Linked DNA regions of Rattus norvegicus. The protein of the gene in region 2 purifies or fractionates together with the protein of the main gene of each other region. This does not show direct contact. Links are inferred from orthologs where the notes say so. Each region holds a gene or a part of one and is shown on either strand. Other genes may lie near its edges.

The links. Proteins that work in one complex are often made in the same cells at the same time.
Region 1: the proteins of Eng (region 2) and Tgfbr1 purify together in Homo sapiens (affinity purification with western blotting; 5 studies listed by BioGRID and IntAct, with this or other methods). This does not show direct contact. The link is inferred for Rattus norvegicus from reciprocal best matches to the Homo sapiens genes ENG and TGFBR1.
Region 3: the proteins of Eng (region 2) and Acvrl1 purify together in Homo sapiens (affinity purification with western blotting; 3 studies listed by BioGRID and IntAct, with this or other methods). This does not show direct contact. The link is inferred for Rattus norvegicus from reciprocal best matches to the Homo sapiens genes ENG and ACVRL1.
Region 4: the proteins of Eng (region 2) and Tgfbr2 purify together in Homo sapiens (affinity purification with western blotting; 3 studies listed by BioGRID). This does not show direct contact. The link is inferred for Rattus norvegicus from reciprocal best matches to the Homo sapiens genes ENG and TGFBR2.

Annotation. Positions count from the first base shown.
Region 1 is NC_086023.1:66,447,702-66,452,638, reverse strand, and holds the start of Tgfbr1 (TGF-beta receptor type-1 precursor), read right to left. Parts: upstream 3,242-4,937; 5' UTR 3,160-3,241; coding exon 3,075-3,159; intron 1-3,074. UniProt on the Homo sapiens protein: Transmembrane serine/threonine kinase forming with the TGF-beta type II serine/threonine kinase receptor, TGFBR2, the non-promiscuous receptor for the TGF-beta cytokines TGFB1, TGFB2 and TGFB3.
Region 2 is NC_086021.1:36,355,804-36,359,979, forward strand, and holds part of Eng (endoglin precursor), read left to right. Parts: intron 1-619; coding exon 620-760; intron 761-2,728; coding exon 2,729-2,891; intron 2,892-3,602; coding exon 3,603-3,768; intron 3,769-4,176. UniProt on the Homo sapiens protein: Vascular endothelium glycoprotein that plays an important role in the regulation of angiogenesis. Required for normal structure and integrity of adult vasculature. Regulates the migration of vascular endothelial cells.
Region 3 is NC_086025.1:134,122,705-134,127,467, reverse strand, and holds the start of Acvrl1 (serine/threonine-protein kinase receptor R3 precursor), read right to left. Parts: upstream 3,242-4,763; 5' UTR 3,177-3,241; intron 2,926-3,176; exon of another isoform or gene 2,793-2,925; 5' UTR 2,717-2,792; coding exon 2,653-2,716; intron 2,145-2,652; coding exon 1,893-2,144; intron 1,757-1,892; exon of another isoform or gene 1,705-1,756; coding exon 1,493-1,704; intron 1,301-1,492; coding exon 1,201-1,300; intron 464-1,200; coding exon 317-463; intron 110-316; coding exon 1-109. UniProt on the Homo sapiens protein: Type I receptor for TGF-beta family ligands BMP9/GDF2 and BMP10 and important regulator of normal blood vessel development. On ligand binding, forms a receptor complex consisting of two type II and two type I transmembrane serine/threonine kinases.
Region 4 is NC_086026.1:124,758,229-124,763,128, forward strand, and holds the start of Tgfbr2 (TGF-beta receptor type-2 precursor), read right to left. Parts: upstream 3,242-4,900; 5' UTR 2,886-3,241; coding exon 2,792-2,885; intron 1-2,791. UniProt on the Homo sapiens protein: Transmembrane serine/threonine kinase forming with the TGF-beta type I serine/threonine kinase receptor, TGFBR1, the non-promiscuous receptor for the TGF-beta cytokines TGFB1, TGFB2 and TGFB3.

The DNA.
Region 1 (4,937 bases), on a different chromosome or scaffold from region 2:
TTCTCTACAAAGATCTATATTGGAGAAAACAGAAGCTAGCAGAGAAATATAAATAACACTCAGACAGTAAAGAACAACTTCAAGTTTTAAGAGAAGATCTGCACTTCTTCAGAATATATAAAGGGCCACACTGAAACATCAACCTAACTCAGTGAGTCAAGGTGAACTTATCTAGGTCTAGCTTCCTATTTTTTGGGGGGGTGGGAGTGGGGTTGAGATAAAGCCTCTATATTCTATAGTTCTGGATGTCCTAGAACTCACTATATAGACCAGAATCTGTCTGCCTCTGCTTCTTGAGTGCTTAGTTTAAAGGCATGAGTCACAAGGCCCAGCAGGTCATAGCTTCTTTTTTTTCTTTTCTTTTATTGGATACTTTTTTATTTACATTTCAAATGTTATCCCCTTTCCTGGCTTCCCCTTTGGAAACTCCCTATCCCATCCTCCCTCCCCCTGCTTCTATGAGGGTGCTCCCCACCCACCCGCTCCCCTCCTGCCTTCCCACCCTGGCATTCCCCTACAACACTGGGGCATCCAGCCTTCACAGGACCAAGAGGCCATAGCTTCTTAAACTGAATCCTAACTCCTTATAGAGGTGCTGGGTCATACAACAATCTGGCAATACTCAAGGACTTCTGAATGTATAACACTCCAAATTAATTAAAAATCAAATGAGTAATGAATCTGAAGTGTTTCTGGCAATGCATGCTTGTGTTACATGATGCAACTTCACAACACCCTTGGTTCTAAACACACTTGCTGTCGTGTTATGCAGTGCTAACATTTATTTTTATAAGTTTTAATGTTTTTTATTAAATAAAAAGTTTTCTATTCTTCCAGAAACATACATACAGAAAAGGCTTTCATCCTTCATGTATATCAAAGTGGTATATTTGTGATCGATTGTAGATCGACTGTATTGTGTTAGAATGTCTGATTTTAAAAACTGCTGTTTAAGTTGCTGACTTAAATTTCATTTTAAAAATTATTAAATGAGGTCTGGAGAGACGGCTCAGTGGTTAAGGGCATCGACTGCCCTTCCAGAGGTCCTGAGTTCAATTCCCAGCAACCACATGGTAGCTCACAGCCATCTGTAATAAGATCTGATGCCCTCTTCTGGTGTGTCTGAAGACAGCTACAGCATACTTATATAAATAAAAAATTATTAAATAAATTTCATCTTGTGATTAAGAGAGAATTTTCAACAATGTCTGAAATGGCCCTAAACAATTATATGGAGTCGTTGGCATTGGATGATTTAATTCTTTAAGTAAAAATAAACTCACCCATCTCATTACTATGAAAATGTGCTTGAATCTTTAATAAATAGTAAAATTGTATGTACCAATGAATTGTTTTAAAATAATTTCATTTATGATCTATTATCAGCACATCTGAATTATATACTTGCTTTCTACATTTTGTACTCAAGGTCACGTACAATCTTTTGAGAAAAGAGGATGGCAAACGGGGAAAGTTTATGAAGTACTAGTCTAGGTTTTGAGTAATAAAATCCTCCAGGACACGGACCAACCTTCTCAGCATCTAAGTCAATACTGCTAAATGCATGAACGTGTCTTGCTTTGTTTTAGGTAGAAAAGAATTACTTTATTCAAATAATTGTAGAGATATGGCCACTTATAGTTGGTGAATAATTATAACAATTCCCCCACTTTGTCCACCGTTATTCCCTTCCTAAGCCAATGTCAAAAACCCATGGTATCTTCTAATGAAGACCTTTGTGAAGGGAATGTTCAAGTACTAGGTTGTTCAAGTTCAAGTAAACTAAGAAACTGATGGCTAAGTTCTAAGTGTCAAATATCAACTGTTCTTTAAGTGGGCTATGCTACGGTATAGCAGGTGCACTGATTTTGAGCCCAGAAAGGCCTAAGTACAAATTAATTTCTGCACTTACTAAGAACGTAATCTCCTGCACCTCAGTTTTCAAGTCAATGTACAGGACAAGTACTGGTAGCCCCGAGGGTTCTGTGCCCCGAGATACTGTGCCTTTTACATCTGCATTATAATCAACTCCCAATAAACAGTTACTATTAAGTTTAATAACAGCTGGCATCCACAGTCTGGAGAGATTTTTGTTTTGGTATGCTTTGCTTTTTAAAATGTTATCCAATTTCAGCAACAGACATGTATTTTCACTGTATTTTAGTTGCTAATCTGAGCCTCAGTATTTTGCTTTCTCCTATTTTAATCGGTTCCGGACTAAGTTTTTCAATCTTCCCTCCACGGGGTGACAACCGTATCACGGCCGGTTTTAATATTTTGGAAAACTACACATTTTCCCTTCAAAAGCCAGCTACATAGAGGTCTGATTTTAAGACTACTGCTTAAGGAAACGATACACCCAAAGCAACGATCCCGTCGAGAAAAAGAAATCTTTGATCAATTCTACAGAATCATTCCCATTCAAACGATCCCAAGTCTGCAGAGTGAGCAAACGTTCAAGTTTCTACTAGCAAGGCAATCTTCTGGTTACTGAACTCTCAACTCTTCCCAGACGCACGAAGAGAGAACATTCCGCGCATCTTCGCGCCTGCTTCTCACACAAAGCCCCCGGTTGAAGAAAAGTCGCCCTAGGCGGGCGCCGACACTCACAGCAGTGCGGCCCACCCGGGATCTCTGCCCACGGCGCCCCTTACGACCCTCCGAGGAGCCCTCCACGCGCCGAGCCCCGGAGCGCCTCCACGCCGGTGCCCGCCCACGCCCTAACAGTCTCAGGCCGGAGAGCACTTAGGCAGTGGAATCAGGGGGCCACGGTCCCCGCCGGCCTCACACCCCCGAGGGCAGCCACAGACCTCAGCAGGCTCGCCAGCCGCTGCTCCCGGGAGCCCAAGAGGGCAGGCCTCCGCTCGGTGTTCGGCCACCCGCGCTCGACACCGCCCCCGCCCCGCCTCTCCTCCCCGCCCCGGCTCGCGTGGCGCCTGCCGGGTCAGGAAAGCTCGGCCGGCCCGGCGCCGCCACCTGCGCCCCCGGCCCCGCGCCATGTTTGAGAAAGAGCTGAAGCGAGCCAGAGGCCGGGCCCGGCTCGCGCGCCCCACAGCCACCCGCCCGCCACTCACCCTTCGCCCCCGGGAGCAGCGTCGCCGCCGCCACCAACACGATGAGAAGCAGGCAGCGACGCAAAGCAGCCGACGCCGCCTCCATGGTCCCGCTGCCACTGTTTGTGGCCCGGCCCGGCCCCGGCCTCAGCTTCTCCTCAACAAGCCTCGCCTCTCCTCGCCCCACCTCCCCGCCGCCGCTGCGGCCTCGCTCCGGCCCTTTGTAACTGCTCGAGGGGCGCACGCCCATTGGCTGCCCAGCTCCCGCCGACCCCGCCTCCCCCGCCGCCCGCGAGCGCCCTAGAGGGACCCAGCGGAGAGCCCCGCCCTCGGGGCCCCTGGGCGGCCAATGAGCGGCCCTGGACTTCTGCCTCTAACCACGCCTCCGCACTGCTGGGCCTCTGGCCACGCCCCCTCACCGCTGGGCGCCTATACTCCAGCCACAGCAGGGTAGCTCGTACTCTACCGGCGGGTGGGGGCAGGGTCCAGCCTGCGCGCCCGAGGGAGCCCGCAGTCCGGACTAAGCGCTGGGTGTGCCCGTAAGAGTTGCTCAGGGAAAGACTGTGGACGTTGCTCGCTCTTTTCTTCTACTCCAACCCCACCCTGACTTTCCCTGCACAGTCCTGCACCGGCAAAGCTCAACTATCGCCACTCCGACCCTCAATACGGTCCGCGGTTCAACTTCTTCTCCCTAGACCCGCTCCTCAATTCCCAGCCTCCCCGCAAAGATAACCCGATTTCTTCCCGCACTCTATGGCCGCCCCAGACCTAGTCTTGCCCTCCTCAAATTCCAGTCCCAAAGTCGGAGCCCAGATTCTGAATCCCGAGGCGGAGCTCAGACACACCCCTGAGTGGCCTGTGTCTCTCGGCAGTATAAACAGACTGTGGGTCCCCGCCGCTCTCCTTCCCTCCCACCTTCCTGACCCCGCGTGGAAGCGGAGAGGCCTACGGGTTTTGAATGATGGGGGATTCGGGGCGAAGCGGGAGCAGTCATAGGTACTTAGAGCTGTCTCCGACACGCCTGTGTAATAATTTCGAGGTGTCACTAAAAACCCAAATAAACTCAGCTCCGCTTTCATTCTGAATTCCTAATTTACTGTGAGACGCTCCACCCACCTTCCCTCTGGGATGCCAAAATGAGCTCCAGATTTGTAATTCTTCCTGTCAGACTAGTCCTTTCTTCAGACACAAACACAGTCACGGAGGCGGCCGCATGGCACCGACAGCATTTTTCCGCAGAACCTTTTAAGGAGAAAATTTTATTTTCTGTATGATTTGAACTCGGAATTAAATGAAGCTCGGTAGTAGGAACCAGCCGGCCTCTAGTATCTGTTAGTAAATTGTTTTACAGCCACTCTCCAAGAGTTTGATCCTGCTTATGAAAGCAAACCGTGGGGGTTAGAGCTGGGGTCTGAGACTGCTTCTCGGCTCCAGCTAGGACACGCTTGAGCAAGTCCTAACCTGCCAGAACCTGAACAGGCCTGCTCTCTGGGACTGCAGAACGATCAGTTCCTAGCTCCCCTGCACCGAGGCTACAGAGACTAAATTTGACTAGCTTCTAAGGCAATCTCTCTGAAAGACTTAAAGGGGCTGTCACACCCGAAATCTCCAGTGCCTATCCCCGCCTCACCCCCACCCCCAAAGCCTTGTACTTCCTCGGCAAGTACTCTACTAATAGCTAGGCAAATACTCTCTACTGATAAGCTACGGCCCCAGTTCTTGTTATTTTTTTAAAGATTGGGTCCAGCTCCTATGTGCACCACGTGCATGTAGTGCTTGTGGAGTCCAGAAGAGGGCGTCCAATTACTTGGAACTGGAGTTGCAGGTGGTTGTGGGCTACCCGACAAGAATGCTAAGAACAGAACCACTTCCTCTGCCAGAGCA
Region 2 (4,176 bases):
AAAAAAAAAAAAAAGAGTTCGAGGCTAGCCTGGGCACAAAAGAAGAACCTGTGAGGAGGAGGAGGAGGAGGAAGAAGAGGAGGAGGAGGAGGAAGGGAAGGATGACCTTGCAATCCTGAAAGCTATGTGAAGCACAGACTTGTCATAGTTTTGTTCTTCTTTCTTTGCTTGGTTGAGACCAAGCTCACTCATTCATTCACGCCCTCTTTCCTTCTTATTTTTCGTTTAATTTGTATTTATTTACTTAGTGTGTGCGTGTATGTGTGTGCAGGCATTGATTGTGTGTGTGTGTGTGTGTGTGTGTGTGTGTGTGTGTGTGTGTGTGTGTGCGCGTGCATGCATCACAGGGCTGGTGCAGAGCTCTGTGGACAGCTTGTAGGAGTCAGGACTCTCTTTCTACCAGGTAAGTCCTGGGGATTGAACTCAGGTCCTCGGTCTTGGCGGTCGCGCTTGCTGAAACCCTCTTACATTTTCTAGGCATGCGAGGGGATAGGCATTACTTTGCGGACAGGTAACTGGCGAGAAGATAGGTCAAGTCAGGGATGGCCTATGGAATGGTCGTCAACCATACATGAAGCAAAACCTGACTGATATATCTATGTCCATGACTTTTCCCCAGAGGAAGTCCGAGGTGGAGTTGACTCTTCAAGCATCCAAGCAAAATGGCACTGAGACTCGGGAGGTGTTTCTGGTCTTCATTTCGAACGAGAATGTCTTGGTGAAGCTCCAGGCCCCAGAAATCCCACTGCACTTGGTCTACGTGAGTGTATGATCCCTAATTCCAGGCAGGCTATGGGAAGCCCCTGCCTGGTGTCCCTTTCTGTGAGCAACGCAGCACACCATAAAGGCAGGGATAGGACCAGAAGGTGCCAGAGGAGGCAGAGGTGGGCAGTAAAGGTGAAGGCCCTCTCACAGATGGACACACAGACCAGCATGGTGGGGACACCACGGAAAATCCCCTCCCAAGTCCAACCGCAAGGGTCTGGCTTCCATTCCCAGAGTATCCTTCTCTTTATCACCGAGAGGGGAAGTCAGGTCCTAGAGACCTTCCCATGGTGCCTCTCCCTCCATTCCCTTCCTCACCTCCTTCCCAGGGTTTGGGAGCTGCCAGGGTTCTGTGTGCACTTGTAAGGCAAGCTCTGGCTGGAGGGTTGTAGCTGCAGCCTAGCCTGGTTGCACCTTTTTACTTGCATTTAACACTCACAGTGACAGCCTTGAGTCATCTGTAACAGATCACCACCCAGAGGTCAGAGGCCTGCCTTCAGTGTTGGGCGGGGCATAAGCCAGGAGACCGATAAGCGCCATGCGCCTGAGTCACGGCTGTAACCCTGTTTTACTGAGGTTAAAGCCTTCAGAGCAGGCAGTGTGTTCTATTATATCTCCTCTGAGCGCCATGCAGTCCCCCTTAATATCTAGCCTGAATCCCTCCTGCTGCTGCTTCTTCAGCTCAAAGGAGTCCTCTGGGTCACCTCTTCCAGGAAGTCCTCTTTATTTCTTTTCTTGGCCCAACAGACCCCAAAGGACCCTAAGGGAAGCAGTGGGGTTTGGGATCTCTCCAGACTCCCTGTCCCCAGCCAGCCAGAGGTCTTGGGTTGCATTTCTTTTCGAAATTAAATCGAATGTAATTTTATGTACTTGAGTGTTTTGTCTGCATGTGTGTCTGCGTACCAGATCTTGTGCCTAGAGAGGCCAGAAAAATATTGCGTTCCCTAGGACGCTAGTTACAGATGGTTGTGAGCTACCATGTGGGTGGCTGGGAACTGAACCTGGGCTCTTAAATCCAAGCCATCTTTCCAGACCTGTTTTTTGCTTTTCATGATAGGGTTTCTCTATGTAGGTTTGGCTGTCTCAGAACTCGCTCTGTAGACCAGGCTGGCCTCAAACTCAAGAGTTTTGCCTGCCTCTGCCTCTCAGGTGCTGGGATTAAAAGCACAAGCCACCACTGCCAGGCTCAAGCCTTGGTTTTTGTTATTTATTAAGTAAATATCCTGTACCTTCTATTACTTCGACTTCTCTAGTTTCTGAATGATGAGCTCCCAGGGTCGGCAGCACCTCATCTGTTTTCTTCCATTCACTCATTCACTGTTTTCTCATACCTTCCCCCTTTTCCCCTTCCACTTTCCCCTCCCCATGCATCCGCAGTACCTACTGTGTGTGGCAGGTATGAAGGTGCAGCTGGCATAACAGATCCGCAATGAACAATGGCTGGGGCCTACAATGTGTCAAGTGTGTGTGTGTGTGGGGGGGGGAGTGGACAAGAAGATTTCCCTTCCTGAACCCAGAGTGCAGACGGATACAGACAGTTGCTACATTGATGCCATTATACATGGTTTGAATAAGTGCCTCGTGGTGAGGCTAAGGCCAAGACCAGATGGACAAACGTGTGTCTGTAGCCATCACATGCAGGAGGAAGATGGTGCCAATATGGCTGTGCTAGAAGAGGTACCTGGGGGCTCTGGGCTGACTGACGACTTCTTTTTTTTTTTTTTTTTTTTTTTTTGGTTCTTTTTTTTTTTTTTTTTTTTTTCCGGAGCTAGGGACCGAACCCAGGGCCTTGCGCTTCCTAGGTAAGCGCTCTACCACTGAGCTAAATCCCCAGCCCCCGACTGACGACTTCTAAGCCTTGTCATTTGAGGTCTTGACTTCTTTTCTGCCAATGAACTGAGCTGACTCAGATTGGTTCCTGACCGGCAGGTAGGAAGTGACTCAGCACTCTGTGTCTCCACAGAACTCCAGCCTCGAGGTCTTCAAAGGACCAAAAGTCAACAGCACACCACTACCATCCTTTACCTCCAAGACACAGATCCTCGACTGGGCAGCCACCAAGGGCACCATTACCTCCATAGCAGCACTGGATGACCCCAAAAGCATTGTCCTCCGGCTGGGCCAAGGTCAGCTCCATCGGTTGCTTCTGGGTTCAGGTTCAGTTGCAGAAGAGACTGAACAAACCCCTGACTTGGGTACTACCAGCCTGCAGTGGCGTGTGATTTGCCCAAAGTCACACAGGCTGGATGGTGCCCTTCAAAGTTGGTGACTGCTTCTGCAGCAGGTATCGGATGAGAAATGCCAGCTTTTTGGCTGGAGATGCGGCTCCGTTGATAGGGTGCTTGCATAGGTTAAGCCCTAGAGCCCTAGACTAGCATGGTGGTAAGGACCTGTAATCTAAGCACTCAGGAGGCAGAGGCAGGAGAATAAGGAATTCAAGCCCATCCTCTGCAAGTTCACTCTGCAAGTTCAAGGTTTCCCTGGGGTTTGCTGGTCAGCCAGTCTAGTCAAATCTGTGAGCCAGGCTCAGTGAGACACTGTGTCTCAAAATAATGCCAAAAACAATGAAGAAAGACAGCTGACCTGTGCCGGGTGGGGGTGGAGGCGGGGGTGGGGCTGGGGCGGGGCTGGGGCGGAGGCGGGGCTGGGGGTACTGCACTACTTGATGTGTGTCTTGGCTCACTTGTCATGTTAACGCTGTGCTGACACAGGAGGAAACCGAGTTCAGCTACTCAGCTAGTAAGCCATCCCCCACCTGTTAGGCTCTGTCCTGAATGTCCCTACCATTGCCTTGTCTGAAAGCGGGGTAAGACCCTCTGATATATTTGTCTCCACAGACCCAAAGGCACCACCCTTCTGCTTCCCAGAAGCTCAGAAGGACATGGGCGTCACACTTGAATGGCAACCACGAACCCAGACACCAGTCCAAGGCTGCCACTTGGAAGGTGTGACTGGACACAAGGAGGCCTATGTCCTGAGGATTCGATCAGGTTCTGAGGCCGGGTAAGGGTGCTGGCCTCCTGAGCATGGCCCTCCCCAATCAGGTCCTATCCTCCAGGTGTATTACCAATCAGATGCTATCCTCTGGGTGTATTACCCAATCAGATCCTATCCTCCGCGTATATTGCTCAATCAGATCCTGCTACCCAATCAGATCCTATTACCCAATCAGATCCTGACCTCCGAGTGTATTACCCAATCAGATCCCAGCCTCCCGATGTGTTAACTTTCCCATTGCCGAGATAAAACACCACAACCAAGGCAATGTGTTTATTTTGGGCTCGCAGTTCCAGAGGGTTCACAACCGCAGAGTGGAGGTAGCAGGTACCTGGAGCAACAGCTAAGAGCTCACATCTTGAACCACACAGACAGGAGGCAGAGAGGGCACCAAAGCCCACCCCTTGTGGGCTA
Region 3 (4,763 bases), on a different chromosome or scaffold from region 2:
AGCGTCTGCCTCTGCAGAAAGTCATAGAGGGAGCCATGCTCGTGGTAGTGGGTGATAAGCCACAGCTGCGTGCTGGAGTTCCGCGAGGTCATGTCGGAGGCGATGAAGCCTGTAAACAGAAGGGTGTGACCAAAGTACCCAGAAGGAAGGAGTGGTGAGAAGGTAGAGCTGCTGAGGCACAGAAGGGGTGGGGCAGAGACCGAAGGCTGAAGCTGGTCTGGGAGTTACATCAATGCCCAGTTCGGTGTATTCCAGCCCTGAGTTGAGGGAGTTGGGGTGCCTTGGCCTGGGAGAGCAGACATGTCCCCTAGCTTGCCTAGGATGTTGTCGTGTCTAAGCAGAACTGTGTTGTAGATCTCTGTCTCCCGGAACCAGGACTGCTCATCTCGTGAGGAGAAAATCTTGACCGCCACACTCTCGCCATGCCACGAACCGCGCCACACCTCGCCATATCGGCCCTTTCCTAATCCGTGGCCAAGGGAAGAATAAGGACCACGCACTAGACACACATAGTCCTTAAAAACCCCCACCCCAATTCCGGATGCTATGAAGATAGATCCCCTCTGCAAAAATCCGATTTTATTTATTTTTAACTTTTTTTTTTTTTTAAGTATAAGGTCTCATTTGTCTTGCTGATTTGGAACTTGCGATGTAGACCAGGCTGGCCTTGGACTCACAGAGATCTGCCTGCCTCTGCCTCCCTAGTGCTGGTATTAAAGGCATGTGCCAAAAACCCCAGCTGCCTTCTAGATCACAATATTTTTCATTTATTTATTTATTTATTTATTTATTTATTTATTTATTTATTCGTGTGTGTGTGTGTGTGTGTGATACACACTAAATGGGATCACATGTGGAGGTCAGAGGACAATCTGAGGAAGATGGTTCTCTCCTCTCGACGAGTACGTCGCAGGGATTGGATTTGGGCCATCAGTCTTGGTTCTAGTGCCTTCCCCTGCTAAGCCCTATGGCTCTCCTCAAACCTGAAAATATACCTTTATTAACATCTTGTCCCAGCTTTGGGCTACTCTTAGCTTATCAGTTCATCCCTGTCCTTGCAAAAATGACCTGACCTTGGCCCAGAACCAACCCTACCTAGCAGAGTATCTTACTCTGGCCCAGGCTGGATCCAGGCTGGATCCTGGAAGCCAAGAGCTTCCTGACCTCCCCAGGTCTATCCCCAGCTCACTGAGTGCTTACCCACACACTCCACCAGTGCAACCTGTCGCGCTACTGTCCTCTGCACCAAGAAGGGTAGCCCTGAGCCGCTGCCTGTGGTACAGTCGCTGACCAGGAAGTCCTGAGGATAACGAGTAGTTAGTCAGTGGCTACCCCCCATCAACCACTGCCTTCTCCATTCTCTGCCACTGCTGGCTCCACTGCTATATCACAGCTTGACTCTCACTGTCATCATTGGGTGACCCCTGATACCATAGCTCCTCTCTCCACACCCACCCTCTACCCTGGTATCCCGGGCTGCCCCAGGCCATACCCCCAACATGCTGTCTCCCTGTTCCGATGCCTTCAGGATGAGACTGGACTCGCCCAGGTCACTGTGCAGACCCCGCTGCTTCTCCTGCCTTCTCCGGACACGCCACAAGCCCAGAGTGCCCAGGGCCACCAGGACCAGCAAGGCCAGCACGGGACCCAGGATCAGAGGCAGATGGGCATCTACTTCTGGCTCCTCCGAAGGAGTTTGGGTGGCTGGAGGAGGGGGACATTGAGTCCCAGCTCTACCAGGCTAGCTCTCCTGACCCTGAGCCAGACCACTTACAGTCAGATCCCAGCATCCTGCCTCCCCACACCCTCTCCATGTGAACCAGGGCATGAGAAGAAAGAAGGGCAGGGGGCATAGTTTAATAAGAGGAAGAGTGGGAGAACACCCGACGTACCCTCCAGCATCAGGGACACATTGTGGTTGCAGAAGGATCTATAGCAGCAGTGATGGTTCACAAACTCCGTGGGACGTCCCAGGCAGAGCTCCTGGTTCAGGCTCCCGCAGCCCCGATAGACCTGGGGGTGCCTGCCCTGCTCTCGAACTAGCACCACTGTGCACCATGCCCCCTGGCAGATTGGCCTCTTGCAGTGTGGGTTCTCACAAGTGCAGTTTACCAGCTGACCCCTGGAGGGCTTCACCAAGTCTCCTGGGGGTCATGAGAAATTTAGGCACTCTTCCTACTGTCCCATCCCTTCTGATCTCACAGGCAAGCCCCTCAAGCCTTGGTCCTTTAATCCCATCCCCTAACTGTTCTTCTCTCTGAGCCTTGCCCCTAGCTACAGGCAGTGAAGACTGAGAAGCCAGTTTCTGTCTACAGTCTGTACTGGGACCTCCTCTCCCTACTACAGGTCCTCCAATGGTCCCAGGCTCCCCCTGTTCACAGAGAGTGTTCACAGAGAATAATAAGCCTCCCTCTTGTTCTCTCCACCCAAGACGTAGGTTCTATCCTGGAAGGAGCCTTGGCTTGCAACTCAGTGTCACGAAGATATAAAGGAAGGTGGGAACAGCTTGGGGGCCTAGTCTACGGGACTACTGTCCCTCCTCCAGCCAGGGCCCTGTTCTCAGCCCCCAAGTTCCAGTCCTAGCAAAAGCTGACCTGAACCCAGATAGCCTCCTTCCATTCAGGTCCCCATGCTGCCCCTCCCAATACTCACCCTTAGTTAGGCCCAAGGCCACCGACAGCATCAAAAAGACCCTTCGGAAAATCCCCAGGGTCATGGTCCTTGGAGATAGGAGGAGAAGAGATGTGACGAGATCTGCAAACTGTGATAGCTGTGGTGACCAAGGTCTCCTCCTACCAGGAGGAAATCACCAAGAGGTTTTTTTGTGGGGGGGAGGCAGAGAAGCCACCTCCCAACTCCTACGTCTGGTTTCAGGGCGTGGCTTGCAAGGGAAGTCCCGGTTCACTTCCCCATGGAAACCGTCTGCTGGGGGTAAGGGGTGGAGAGCTATGTTTAGAAGAGAGCCAGAGAGGACCATGGCTCTGCTCCCACTGCTGAGTTTAGAGGGGATCAGGCCGGGAGGGTTGCAGACCGACAGAGCTACAGCGGAAGAACGTCTCTCTTATAGCTCGTCTCTTGTCCTCAGTCATTTGCCCATCACCCTGCCCACCCTTTCCCAGTGCCCCCCCCCCTCCCAAAGCCAGGCTGCTTCAAACATAAACAGGTCCCGTCCTCACTTCCTGCCATTCAGGGTCCCGCCAGGCCGGCTACAGGAATCAAGATTGTTTAGATTGAAGTCTGGATAGAACACGCTGGAGTCACGCACAGCCGGGAGCTCAGGGTAGGGGCAACCTGGAGCCGAGACGACCGCGTGAAGTCTGTGTGGGTACCCTATGCACCATCAACCCCAGCTCGGATTTAAAAAAAAAAATGTCGTCTTTATTATTGTGTCTGCCTGTAAGGGTCCTTGTGCCAAGGTACGAGTGTGAGAAGTCGATCCTGTAGAGCTGTTTTTCTCCTTCCACCTTCACATGGGTGCTGGGGATGGGACTCGGGTCACCTAGCTTGTGTAGCAAGCATCTTTACCTCCGCTGTACCAGCTCTTCGTTCCCCTCCCCTGCTGCTCTGTTTTTTTTTAAGCTTTATTTATTTGTTTGTTTATTTATTCTATATAAGTAAACTGCAACTGTCCTCAGACACACCAGAAGAGGGCATTGGATCCCATTACTGATGACTGTGAGCCACCATGGGGTTGCTGGGATTTGAACTCAGGACCTCTTGGAAGATCAGTCAGAGCTCTTAACCGCTGAGCCGTCTCCTCAGCCCCTGCAGCTCTGGTTTTAAAGTGGGGAGAGTAAGGCTCACCCAGGGGAGGAGGCCTCTCAGATCCCATTAGAATTGTCTTGCAGGGGGTTGGGGATTTAGCTCAGTGATAGAGCGCTTGCCTAGGAAGCGCAAGGCCCTGGGTTCGGTCCCCAGCTCTGAAAAAAAGAACCAAAAAAAAAAAAAGAATTCTTTTGCAGTAACAGGAGTCTAACCCGAGAGTATAGACCCCACCTCCCCAAACTGTTCCTTCTTCTCTGTGTTCTGAGCTGGTGGAGCCAACCTCTGCCTGCATCCTCCAGCAACCCTATACAGCCTGACAGTGACTAGCTATAAAAAGCCCGTTTCTCCCTTGGAGCCATCTGGGCCCCCTTCTCTCTTCTTGCTGTCCTGGGAAAGGGCTGGGGGAGGGCCAGTGGTACAGGAAGTGAAACATACTTAGACACTGAGTGTTTGACCTCGAAGAGTTGCCTGGGGTTTCACTCTTCCAGAAGTTTGACGGACGCTGGTGAGAGACGTGACTCTGGGAGATGACAGTCCTCAACTCAGGACCCAAACCAACTACTGCTTCAGAAGCTGCACCACTCTTCCCTTCTCACAGCCCCAGAGCCAGCAGACAAGTGCTGAGCCTGTAGCAAGAGGAGCCTCGGTCAGACGGGAACACAGACTTTCCGAATAGCAGGGTGTGCAGGCTAGATCCTCAGCTCAGGAACCAACATGTGGAGTGTCCTGTGAGAAGACACCAGAAGTCTGGAAGGACTGGTCGCTTACACTACAGAGGCCCATGCTCTAAGCTTGGTATTGAATGGAGACCCAGGATGCTTTTTGGGGGGCAGGATGTCTAGGGTCAGGCTGAGGGGCTTGGTGGACCTTTCTGGCTAGTGGAAGCCCCAGCCTTCCTGCCTGGGTTTCCTCTGCCCCAGAGGCCTGGTCTGAGGGAGGAAATAGAAACCTGCCCTGCTGTTGCAACTGTGTCCCAGGTTCTGACCTGCCTCTTGCCC
Region 4 (4,900 bases), on a different chromosome or scaffold from region 2:
AAATAAGTATTTTAATTTGTGAGGCCTGCAGGAGGGACCCAGCAGGTAAGCTCCAAGATCTGAGTTCTTGGGTCTTGCATACAGAGGAAGAGAACCAACTACCATAGAACCACAGTTGTCCCTTGATTCCTCCACACAGAAGTGCGCGCACACATACACACGCGCGCGTGCACAAAATAAGTACATACATTTTAAAATTAAAATTTATCTACATTTCTTGTCAGCTGGGGAGATGGCTCAGTTCATAAAGCACTTGTCATGCAAGTATGGGGACCTGAAATCAGATCCCCAGCGCCCACATAAATGGCCAGAAGGATGTGTTGGTGACCTCTAGTGCCAGCACCCAGGAGGCAGACTCTGGGGTTCTCCAAGACAAGCTGGTTAGCAGGACAAACCCACGCAGTGCACTGTGGGTTCAACTAGAATCCTTGCACCATCTAAGAAGCCTGCCTGAGTAAATGAAGTGGAACAACTGAAGACCACCCTCTCTCTGTCAACCTCCAGCCTCCACACCCATGAGCACCCTCTGTCAACCTGCAGCCTCCACACCCATGAGCACCCTCTGTCAACCTCCAGCCTCCACACCCATGAGCACCCAAGGGTGTGCCCACCCTAGTCCAGTACTCATGTACAGCACCCTCAGAGAAACATGAGGAAAAGAAGTTTTAAATAATTTTCTTTAGTGTGAATTTCTCTTACACTGAAATCGCTTGTTCACTTGCCAGGCTGGTCAGCATGAGATATTTGTTTGTTTAGGACTGACTAGGGCTTTGTAAAGAATCCTCCTTCCTTCTCATTGTCTCTTGCATTAAAGTTATCTTGAGAAACATTCTCACAGTTTACCACTATGTCAGAGAAATCCCAATACCCTTTTCTTCTCTGGAAACTGAAAAGGCAAGTGGAATTCCACACATCCTTTCCCTGGGACCAACTTTAAACCATCTTTAAAGACTTTGATCCACATGGGTACAACTCAAAATGAACTGTCCAAACATTCTGGAATAGCAATTCCATAAAATGTTTAAAAAGAAAAAACTCTCTGTTTTATAAAATCATTTAAAGCCCAAATTAACAAGACCCACCAAGCCCATCAGCTAATTGTTTAAAACTGTGTATAAATGACCCACAAGCTACAGAGCCTGGAACTCGAAAATCGCAAATCTCACTCTTGTAAACAAAACTCAAACTGGGGCCTCTGGACTTTGGTTCTTCCCGAGCTAAAACAAATGTTTTATGTACACAAAAAGAAGGGTGTTCTTTCGGATGGTCTTCAGCAAAACGCGGCAGTTTTTCTTTTAATTTTTTTCTTCCTGCGTGTGTTTATGTGTGTTCGGGGTAGGGTCTGTGTGCATGGGAAGGGGCAGGGGAGGACACCAAGTGCCCTCTGTCACTCTCCATGGAGTCTCTCTCTGAACCTAGAGCTAGCTTGGCATCTAGAAATTTCCAAAGGGTCTTCAGTCTTCTCTCACTACCACTGGGCTGGCGATGAACCACGCCCAACTTTGCATACGGACCCTGGGGGGTTTGAACTCAGGTCCTCAAGCTTGCACAGCAAATGCTCTTACCAGCCGGGCCAAATCTCCCAGCCCAGTTTTAAGAGGCTGGAGTAACATCAGAAACAGTTGGGCTTTCTGGAGCTGCCCTTTAACGGAAACCAACGACACGAAAGCAGAGTTTATGAAACGACTAAGACCCTGGTGGGATTTTTGTTGTTTTCCTTTATCGGACTCTTCCCTGAGATGGTCCGCTCCTGTTTGCAATATGATCCAAAACCGTTAAATCACTCCAACTACTGACATCTTCAAAGCCCTCCCTCGAACCCCACCTCCGCGCCCGGCAACACGCACACACAGGGCCACCCCATCCTCTGTGTTTCACCCCAAATCCACCCTGGCCACCTCTTAGTCACCAAGGAAGGTCATGGAAAGCCAGTGATGAAAAGAGTGTAAACTTACACAAACTGAACCACTGAGTTATACACAAGGGGAAACCGAGGCCCAGAGCCACGAGATTTGCCCGGATAGTGGTCCTACACAGATAGCAGCAACAATTCTAACTTTAGGGTTAAAATGTCAGACTTTAAACTTCCCAAAAAAGTTCTTAGGAAGGAGCCCTAGTTCTTGCACCACCCCTGCGATGGGACCTGGAGGGCAACCCGGGTTAGGTGTTTCCACTGAACCGCAGCTGCTGAGATCTTTAATTCCAGGCAGTACCCGTGCAGTCCAACACTTAGTAGGCATGCAGCAAATTTTTCTCAGCCATCAACCCGACCACCCTCACTGGGTCCGCATCCCAGCAGGCCAGGAAACAGTGAGGCTAGAGATCAGTTCTTTTCTCTAACTTGTACCCAGTGAGTCGCGGCCCAGAATCCCTCCCGAGGTGGCAGAGCTGAGGGCTGGGAGTCTGGTTTAGTCGCGGTGTCTCGGGCAGTGAGCGGCCCAGGTGTGCAGCAGCTGGGCGGCCAGTCCCCTGCCGATGCTCCTCCAACTTCCAACTTCTTAAACTTCCCTTTCCGGGGATGCAGGCCCCTCGTGGCCGCCCTCGCCTCTCGTGCGCTCACAAAGGGGTCAGGAGCGTCCCCAAGTCCCCCGCAAGTGGACTGTCCTGCTCTTTTGCGAGAGATCTTCCCCGGAACCCCGCGGGCCCGAGCCGACTCGGGCCGCTACAAACTTCCCGTTTCCGCCCTCGCGCCGGGTCCCGCGGCCGACTGTCAGTCGCTGCCCTGGGGGTTGGAGAAGGAGCGAGGAGCCCTAGTGAACCCCCCAGCGTCGCGCCCCGGCCACTCACTCACCCGACTTGGGAACGTGCGGCGGGATCGTGCTGGCGATGCGCGTCCACAGGACGATGTGCAGCGGCCACAGGCCCCGGAGCAGCCCCCGACCCATGGCAGCCCCCGTCGCTCGTCATAGACCGGCCCCTGGGGCGCCGCGAACCGAGCCTCGGGGACCCCGGGCTGCGCCTTTATTCCTCGCCCTCTCAGGATGCCTGCGCCGCCCGGAGCGCGCTGGGCAGAGGTGCGGGCCAGATGTGGCCGGCGATCCCCGGAGCTCGGAGGCCCGGAGGAGGCCCCCGGCGGCCGAGGAGAGCTGCGCAGGAGGCTGGGGCTCCGTCCCCCAGGCGAGCGTGTGCGCGCGCGGGGGGTGTCGTCGGTCGGTGCGCGCGAGTGACTCACTCATCAACTTTACCCGGGCGCCGGGAGGGAAACAGGAAACTCCTCGCCAACAGCTGGGCAGGACCTCTCGCCGCCCAAGAGCCTTCCAGCTCCGGTCCTCTCCTCCAGCTTCCAGCCCTCGCCTTCCTCCGGCCACCAATCAAGGCCGCTGGATTGGACCTTGAGGGACTCTACGAACTTTGAGTTGCCCACTCCCAGCGCTCCCACTCACCCCGACCCTGCTAAGTCCCGGCTCCAAGTTCAAACTCAGAAGTGACTAAGCGCACGTTTCGCAAAACAAGCTAGAAGGTGGTGTAAACCACTTTCCTTGATACCCTCCTCCAAGCATCCCCTACACCTTCTAGGCATTGCTCCCAGGGACTTCATAACTCCGTTGAGACCCAGGAGGGAGCTCTGAAATGTAGCTCCAGAGTCCCGAACACGTGGTTTCCCCTAATAAAATAACGGTAAGCACTTCATGAGAACTTAGTTTCAGTTTTATGGACATGCATGCGTGATTACGTTTGTAAAGGACTGTTTCTTACTGTGGAACAAAAGTCCAGGGGCTTGTCTCCGAGTTTAGTGTGCGAATTAATCACTCTGGGCTAGGAAGTTAGCTAACCTGCAGGTTCTGGTTTAGTAGGTCTGAACCGGCAGCGTCTGCATTTCTAATGAGCACCTGGGTAGAGCCTCGGATTGGAAGGACCATTTCCTGGGCGTGGTCTGCTGGGTAAAGCCAAATAGTTGGCCCTGTGATCGCGGTAGGGCTGGTATTTTCAGGGTGTTGCCTGTCAGAAACTAAAGAAATAAAAGTGTTTTGGGGACCAGGCTGGGATGGCGCACGTGGGCGGGACTCTACGAGTTCGGGGCCAGCCTCGTCTACAGAGTGAGTTCTATGGCAGCTAAAGCTATACTGTCCTGGAAAACCAAAAATAAAATGAATAAAAAATAAAATAAAAAGTGTCTTAGGTTGGGGGGTTCTGCTTTCTGTTTTCCAATGATCAATCTTTGATAATTCAGGTAAGGACAGAAAATACGTGGCTGAAGGTAGAAAGGCTATCAGTAGGAAGACCCATCAAAATTTTCATTCTTTCTGGTGTGACCACATTTTCCAGAGACAATCTCTGTGGTGTATGTGTGTGTGCGTGCATGTGTGCATGCATGTGCATGTGCGTGAGCGTGTGTGTGTGCGTGTGTGTGTGTGCATATGCATGTGCATGTAGGTTTGGGTGTGTGGGTGTGCGCGTGTGCATGTGTGAACCTGTCTGTGTGGGGCACGTGGAGGCCGTAAGTTCACATCCCATGTGTACCTCAATCACCTCACCTGATTTGTTTTTAAGGGTTTATTTTATTTGATGTGTGAGTACCTTGCCTTCATGTCTGCATGTGCATCACATGCACGCCTGTTGCAGAAGAGACTATGAGAGGACATAGAGTCTTCTGGAACGAGAGTCACCGAAGGCGGCACTAGCCACGTGTCCAGGAGGTGACTTTGTGAGTCCTGGGAACTGAATCTGGGTCTCTGTAGAAACAGCAAGTGCTCTGAATTGCTGAGCCAGCTCTCCAGCCCCTTGACTCGCATGAGTTTCCCATGGATCCTGGAGATGGAAGATTGGCCTGACCAGCTGGTCAACAACCCAGACATCCTCCTGCCTCTGCTTCCCCAGCACTGGGGTCTCAGCTGCATCTGTGCCAGCTGTGTGTGTGTGTGTGTGTGTGTGTGTGTGTGTGTGTGTGTATCACTGTGCA